2 linked regions of the Macaca mulatta genome follow. The protein of the gene in region 2 purifies or fractionates together with the protein of the main gene of each other region. This does not show direct contact. Links are inferred from orthologs where the notes say so. Each region holds a gene or a part of one and is shown on either strand. Other genes may lie near its edges.

Evidence for each region.
Region 1: the proteins of TCTN2 (region 2) and TMEM231 purify together in Homo sapiens (affinity purification with mass spectrometry; 3 studies listed by BioGRID and IntAct, counting the BioPlex papers as one, with this or other methods). This does not show direct contact. The link is inferred for Macaca mulatta from reciprocal best matches to the Homo sapiens genes TCTN2 and TMEM231.

Annotation. Positions count from the first base shown.
Region 1 is NC_133425.1:70,906,722-70,910,633, reverse strand, and holds the start of TMEM231 (transmembrane protein 231), read left to right. Parts: upstream 1-1,351; coding exon 1,352-1,490; coding exon of another isoform or gene 1,491-1,584; coding exon 1,585-1,754; intron 1,755-3,912. UniProt on the Homo sapiens protein: Transmembrane component of the tectonic-like complex, a complex localized at the transition zone of primary cilia and acting as a barrier that prevents diffusion of transmembrane proteins between the cilia and plasma membranes.
Region 2 is NC_133416.1:131,132,257-131,136,068, reverse strand, and holds the end of TCTN2 (tectonic-2), read right to left. Parts: intron 1,799-3,812; coding exon 1,673-1,798; intron 1,539-1,672; coding exon 1,450-1,538; intron 926-1,449; coding exon 816-925; 3' UTR 103-815; downstream 1-102.

The sequences.
Region 1 (3,912 bases), on a different chromosome or scaffold from region 2:
ACAGGCATGTGCCACTGCGCCCAGCCATTCAGGGCCATTTGATGAAGAACTTGGCTGTGGACCATAGTTGTTTTTTTTAAAGTCCTTCTACCATGTTCGAAATATGGTTGGGGGCGGTGGGGGGTGTAAGCATTCAATTAAGCAATATGCCAGTGATCTCTGGGGAGGACCACAGCTTCCTATAAAACTCGCCGCTGAGCTTGTACCCAACACAGGGTTAACAAAGTGCATCAGAGCTTTGTAATATTCCACTCTATCCCTCCAAGAGCCAGGGGATTTGTGTTTCCGTGTCTTGTCTTGCATTGGAGCATAGTGGAAGCAAGAGAAAATCTGGGAGCAAAGACACCTGGCTTTGGTCTTAGCCCAGGACCAGGTCCAGGACCGCGGCCAGGCTTGTGACTGAGTGGATTTCAGTAGGAACTACACTGGGGATTAACAGATGACACAAAAGCAGGTGTTTGTTGTGTGCAGGAGCGCGAGGGGAGAAGAAAAGGCACACACACAATACCTTTAAGGGTAAGCAAGCTTTATCCCACGTAAATGGCAATGCAGATATTATAATAAGCAAATTAATATAATAAGCAGATTGATATAAGCAAATTGCAATGGGAAGAGGAGAAGGAAAAAGACATATATATATTTACACTCATCAGACTATGGAGGATTCACCTCCAGACTGGGAAGCAAGAGCCTGAGCTCCAGAGCCGGCCACTCTTCAGTCAGTGCCCAGATGAGAAGAGGTGTCATGAAGCTTTGGGTGGTCTGGGATCCTAGCTCTTTTTGTAACATGTTGTCTGACATGAGGCCCAGTCACGAGGGCCCTTCGTGGCTGGGCTCAAGGAACACAAAAAGGTCAACTTGTTTTTGTGATTGTTGTTTTTCAATAACTAACGTATAGGAATAGAACGAAATAGAGATTTCTGCGAAACAGCGCTGGATGAACGCCTCAAGGGGCTCCCACAACCTGTTTCGGAACTTGGTGACCATTGTTTGTGTCCATGTCAGTTCAAATTTAAATATTTAATTTTTCCTCCTCAGTGTTCAAGTCAACTTTTATGGGCATCTTATTTTACACAAATGTTAACACAGACAACAGCCACGACTTTGGTCCACGGAAACGTTCTATCGCCGCCCAGCCTTTACGCAAAGGGACACAGCTTGAAAAGCTAGGCCGGCAGTCCCCGGCGGCGCCACGCCCGCTAACCCCGCCCTCGCCGCTGGCTCCTTTCGGTCTGGCCTTGCTATTGGCTCCTTTCCGGGAGCCGTCGGTTGCCGTGGAGACCGAGGCGATGGCAACCAGGAGAAGCCAAACTTGGTCCTCCGGCTCGCGGCGTGCCGGCGCGCGGTGCTCATGGCGCTCTACGATCTCTTCTCTCACCCGGTCGAGCGCAGCTACCGCGCGGGACTCTGCTCCAAAGCCGCGCTGTTCCTGCTGCTGGCCGCTGCGCTCACGTACATCCCGCCGTTGCTGGTGGCCTTCCGGAGCCACGGTGAGCCTGCCCCAGCCGCTGTGTCACGCGACTCCCCGGGCGCGCTCGGCCGGGGCCGGCCTCCCTGACGGCCTCCCCACCTTCTTTAATTCAGGGTTTTGGCTGAAGAGGAGCAGCTACGAGGAGCAGCCGACCGTGCGCTTCCAACACCAGGTGCTGCTCGTGGCCCTGCTGGGACCCGAGAGCGGCGGGTTCCTCGCTTGGAGCACGTTCCCCGCTTTCAACCGGCTGCAGGGGGATCGCCTGCGCGTCCCGCTCGTTTCGGTGCGTGGTTCCCGCCTGGGCCTGGGGCAAAGCGGGCGGTGGGGTGGGGACGGGGACGGGAATGAGGATGTGGGGCGAGCGGCCCCGGCCCTGGGGAACCCAGCTTGGATCCTAAGGACTCGCGAACCCGCAAAGGTGGCGTTTCATCTCCTGGGACCTAGGGAATCGATTTTCTGTTTCATTCTGCTTCTCCCAGACGTCCCCGGCCCCCAGAAAGTTAGCCACGCTGTCAGCATATGCGCCCTGATACAGAGTCCAGAGGTGTGGAGGCAGCCTGCGTCTGCCCCCGTCACACCCGCGGGCCTGGCCTGATGGAGGGTGTTTGTGAAAGTCCATTTAGGAGCCTTGAAGGCAGCGCGCTGTTAATGTAGGTAACCCCATTCTGTCGCGGCGTTTCTGCATCACACCACTGTAGGAGCGGAAAGGGCGGCATTTTTATGGAGCCCTGACCCCTGGAAACCAAGGCGCTGATTGGTTAAGCGGCCTTCCCAGAACGCGCTATGGCCGAGTCACGCCTCCCTGGGTTTGTCCCATTGGAGACTGCGTCATCCTGAAGCTGTCGGGATGAAATTGAAGCATGTTACTGTCTGTAGTTTATTTATTTATTTTTAAATTTTTCATCAGTAGAGTGCTGAGAGGAATCTGTAATTTAGTATTTGCTTTGAGATAAGCGAATGCTTCCTTTATAGTCACTCCTTTTCACTCATTTTCTGAAAACGTTTTCCTTTAGAAGTATGACACTTACGGTTTTCCTTCTTTCAAAGTTGAATCTCTTCAGACATCTCTAAGATGATTGCCCTACAAGCCAACCTTGTATAGCTGAGGAGAAAAGAAAATCAGACTTGTTCCCAGCAACTAAATAAAATTGTTTTTAAAAATCCGATTGGGCCGGGCGCGGTGGCTCACGCCTGTAATCCCAGCACTTCGGGAGGCCGAGGCGGGCGGATCACGAGGTCAGGAGATCGAAACCATCCTGGCTAACACGGTGAAACCCCGTCTCTACTAAAAATACAAAAAATTACCAGGCGCGGTGGCGGGCACCTGTAGTCCCAGTTACTCAGGAAGCTGAGGCGGGAGAATGGCGTGAACCCGGGAGGCGGAGCTTGCAGTGAGCCGAGATCGCGCAAGTGCACTCCAGCCTGGGCGACAGAGCGAGACTCTGTCTCAAAAAAATAATAATAATAAATAGAAATAAATTTTTAAAATCCAATTGGTCATATAAATAACTGCAAAAAAAAAAAAGAATAGTAATAGGTTGGCGCAAAAATAATTGCGGCTTTTGCCATTAAAAGTAGTGGCAAAAAAACCGGAATTACTTTTGCAACAACCTAATATGATTCAGGTTACTTTTCTCCTGTTACTTTACGAATGTTCTTATGTTCTGATTACAAAAGTGCATGCTCATTCTAAAATAATATAGAGTTACAGGTAGATATAATGACCAAAATTGAAGGCCCAGTTTTGTATATGTATCAATACTTATTAATCAGCCATATTCTTTTTGAGGTTTGTTTTGACTTTTTCACTATTGGGGACAACATTTCTTTTTTTCTTTCTTTCTTTTTCTTCTTTTTTTTTTTTGAGACGGAGTCTTGCTCTGTTGTCCAGGCTGGAGTGCAGTGCTGCAATCTCTGCTCACTGCAACCTCCACCTCCTGGGTTCAAGCAATTCTCGTGCCTTAGCCTCCCGAGTAGCTGGGATTACAGGCTAATTTTTGGATTTTTAGTAGAGAAGGGGTTTCACCATGTTGGCCAGGTTAGTCTCGAACTCCTGACCTCAGGTGATCCACCCGCCTTGGTCTCCCAAAGTGCTGGCATCACAGGTGTCAGCCACCGTGCCTGGCCTAGGGACAATATTTCTGTGAACAAGGTTTTGACTAAATCGTATGCCTTTAAACATCAGATTGTGAGGAATTGGAATAGCAGCTCTTTGATGAAATTAGGTAAGTACATAGAAAACTAAGCAAATCATTATTAACTGCAGGGAAATGAAAAGTAAGGAAAACTGAGAACTGAAAACTTATGAGAGTTGTGAATAGGATTTACATAGTCTTAATTATATGAACACTGAATGTTGACTAAAAAGAGATTTTAACTCTGTTGGGGGTAATGAGAAAGGTATTGAGAATGTGATAGGGGATGGTGGGAGGAGTTGGGGG
Region 2 (3,812 bases):
TTCTTCTCATGCATTTTACTCAGTCAGGCCAGTGATGAGAATATTCATTCTGCATCAGATAGCTACATATATGAATTAAAGTCACAGGGCACTTAATAAAAATTTTCTACAAAAATAAGACATTTCATTTATTAAAATTTTATAGAGAAGCATACAAGACTACAACAAATCACTGAAGTCAAGGTCTAAAGTCTTTGAGAAGTCAGATGGACCGGACACAGTGGCTCACATCTGTGATCCCAGCACTTTGGGAGGCCGAGGTGGGCAGATCATTTGAGCTCAGGAGTTACAGACCAGCCTGGACAACATGGCGAAACCCCGTCTTTACCAAAAATACAGCCAGGCGTGGTGGAGAATCTGTAGTCCCAGCTACACCAGAGGCTGAGGTGGGAAGATTGCTTGGGAGGCAGAGATTGCAGTGAGCTGAGATTGTGCACTGCACTCCAGCCTGGGTGACAGAGTGAGACCCCGTCTCAAAAAAAACAAAAACAAAAACAAAAAAGGCCAGGTGCGGTGACTCATGCCAGTAATCTCAGCACTTTAGGAGGCTGAGATGGGTGGATCACAAGGTCAGGAGTTCGAGAGCAGCCTGGCCAATATGGTGGAACCCTGTCTCTACTAAAAATACAAAATTAGCCAGGCATGGTGGTACGTGCCTGTAATCCCAACTCTCCGGAGGCTGAGGCAGGAGAATCGCTTGAACCCAGGAGGAGGAGGTTGCGGTGAGCTGAGATCACGCCATTGCACTCCAGCCTAGGCAACAAGAGCAAAACTCCATCTCAAAAAAAAAAAAAAAAAAAAGGCCAGGTGGTTGTCTAACTATAGGCTTTGCATATTCTGGTCCAGGGGTTGCTGAGAAACATGGCCAATGTGAGGAACAACAGCAACAGTAAGCCCTTGGCAACACATTGAGAATGCGGCTCCCCTGAAAAACAATGGACAAAATTAAGCAGCAGTATTTCTTAACTCTTGTGATAACAGTGTAGGCTGGGCGTGGTGGCTCACTCTTGCAATCCTAACACTTTGGGAGGCCAAGGAAGGCAGATCACTTGAAGCTAGTTCGAGATCAGCCTGGCCAACATGGTGAAACCCCGTCTCTACTAAAAATACAAAAATAGCCCGGTGTGTTGGTGCTGTAATCCCAGCTACTCCAGAGGCTGAGGCATGAGAATCATCTGAACCCAGGAGGCAATGGTTGCAGTGAGCTGAGATTCTGCCACTGCACTCCAGCCAGGGTGACACAGAAAGACTCTGTCTAAAAAAAAACAGTGTAGGTAGAAATAAACTAAGCCTCAACAGTAATGGTGATCACTTCCAAGTGGCAATATTATCTGTAAATTTTTTTAAGTTTCTATATGTTTTACGCTTTCTGTAACATTTAGACATCATTTTAAATTGTTTTTAAAACTGACATAACATAATTGGTCATAGAAATCTGTTTCACCCTACCTTGATAATACTGAGTCCATGGATATAGAAGCTGCGGCCAACACACCTCATTTCTGTTGCAGTCATACTCTGTATAATTGATCTGGAATCTAGAAAACATTTTAGAGGATTACAAAAACTACAAGTGAAAAAGTATCAGAACTTGATTAAAGGAATAAACTTCCAATTTTCAAATATATATTTTTCTGCTTCCTAATGTCCACTAGGTGACCAACTGGAGTACCTTGTCAGGGGGCGGGGTAACTGTGCAGGAATTTTAATAAACTGGACAGATGCACTGATAGGGAGAAGGTCGGCCTTGTGCTCACAGGTAAGCCCACACTGGTACTGCCAGTTCACTGAGGAGAACCTAGGAGGGAAAGATCACATGGTCAGCATAGCCACCATTCAGTTCTATTCCACCAAGAACAGCAGGTAACAGATGCAATCACAATACAACCTGAGGTTCTCTTAAGAAGTTTCACATTCTACCTGTGCTGTTTTTTCTTTGTATTTGTCCATTGTCTTTGTCCATTTCGACAGACAGATCCAAGGAGAAGAGAAACTCCTAATAACCCCTCATGGGCCTGTCGCCCGGTGACATCTGCCAGTCCTGTCAGTCTCACTCCTCTCCAGCCAGTGCATTTTATACAGGTGCTATCAAAGGTACCTTTGTTCATCACCTGTTTTTCTCAACCGATATAATAATAAAAGCAGCAGCTAGCCACTTATTGAGGGCTTTCCACGTTCGAGGCACAGAGATAACTTGCTTGCAACACACCATCTCGTGTTATCCTCAAAAGAGTACTGCAAAGGTGGTAACTGCACTCCCATTTTCCCTTGCAGAGTCACCACTCTCCATTCCCAGTTCAGCGGACCAGAAGGGACTGGCCCTAATCCAGAGGTGCACCCATCACCTGAGCCTAGCCAATAAGAGCTGCCCATTGCCCCAGTCATAGGGATTGGTTCAGAAAGGAGCACATGACCCAAACTGAACCAATGAAAGTCTGCCCGGATCTATTTTGAGAAAGAGGAGGGGCCGGGCCTGGTGGCTCATGCCTGGAATCCCAGCACTTTGGGAGGCTGAGGTGGGCAGATCACCTGAAGTCGGGAGTTTAAGACCAGCCTGACCAACATGGAGAAACCCCATCTCTACTAAAAATACAAAATTAGCTGGGCGTGGTGCCGCATGCCTGTAACCCCAGCTACTCAGGAGGCTGAGGCAAGAGAATAGCTTGAACCCAGGAGGTAGAGGTTGGGGAGAGCCGAGATGGCGCCACTGCACTCCGGCCTGGGCAACAAGAACTAAACTTCGTCTCAAAAAAAAAAAAAAAAGAAAGAAAGAGAGAGAGAGAGAAAGAGAGAAAGAGAGAGAAAGAAAGAGAAAGAAAGACAGAAAGACAGAAAGACAGAAAGACAGAAAGAAAGAAAGAAAGAAAGAAAGAAAGAAAGAAAGAAAGAAAGAAAGAAAGAAAGAAAGAAAGAAAGAGAAAGAAAGAAGAAAAGAAAAGAGGAGGAAAGAGGCTTTCTCCCCACTGGACTTGCTGCAGTGACATCAGCCTGGATTGCTAGTGCCCATCTTTGCCATCTCTTGAGGAGAACCTCCCTGAGAATGAAGCCAACCCAAAGAAGAGGAGCTGAGACACGAAAACAAAAAGATCCCTGACCACACTGGAACCAGGAACCATGAACTAGCTGTATGTGGATTACTCTGAACTTGAACCAATAAATTCCCCTTTTTGCTTCAGTCAGTATGAACTGGGCACCTGTCACTTAAAACTGATGGAGGCAGGCTGGGCATGGTGGCTCACGCCTGTAATACCAGCACTTTGGGAGGCCAAGGTGGGTGGATCACGAGGTCAGGAGATTGAGACCATCCTGGCCAACAGGGTGAAACCCTGTCTTTACTAAAAATACAAAAATTAGCTGGATGTGGTGGCACATGCCTGTAATCCTAGCTACTCAGGAGGCTGAGGCAGGAGAATCACTTGAACCACAGAGTCGGAGGTTGCAGTGACCAGAGATATTGCCACTGCACTCCAGCCTGGAGACAGAGCAAGACTCCATCTCAAAAAAAAAAAAAAAAAAAAAAAATCTGATAGAGGGTTGTTACATAAAGGTATTATCACCATATTACAGAGGAGGAAACTACAGCTCAGAAAGGTTAAGTAATTGGCCAGTGCCGCACAGCTCCTAAGTGGGACAGCCGTGATTTGAACCTATCTGCTGCCAAAGTCTCTAACCACAGACAATATTATCTGACCAGCATATCAGTTACATTCATGGATTTCAAAATGTACTTAGCAATAAGTAGCCCTTTATTCATCTTTGTACTCCCTAAAATACCTTGCAGACTCTCTTACACATGGCTTTATAAATACTTG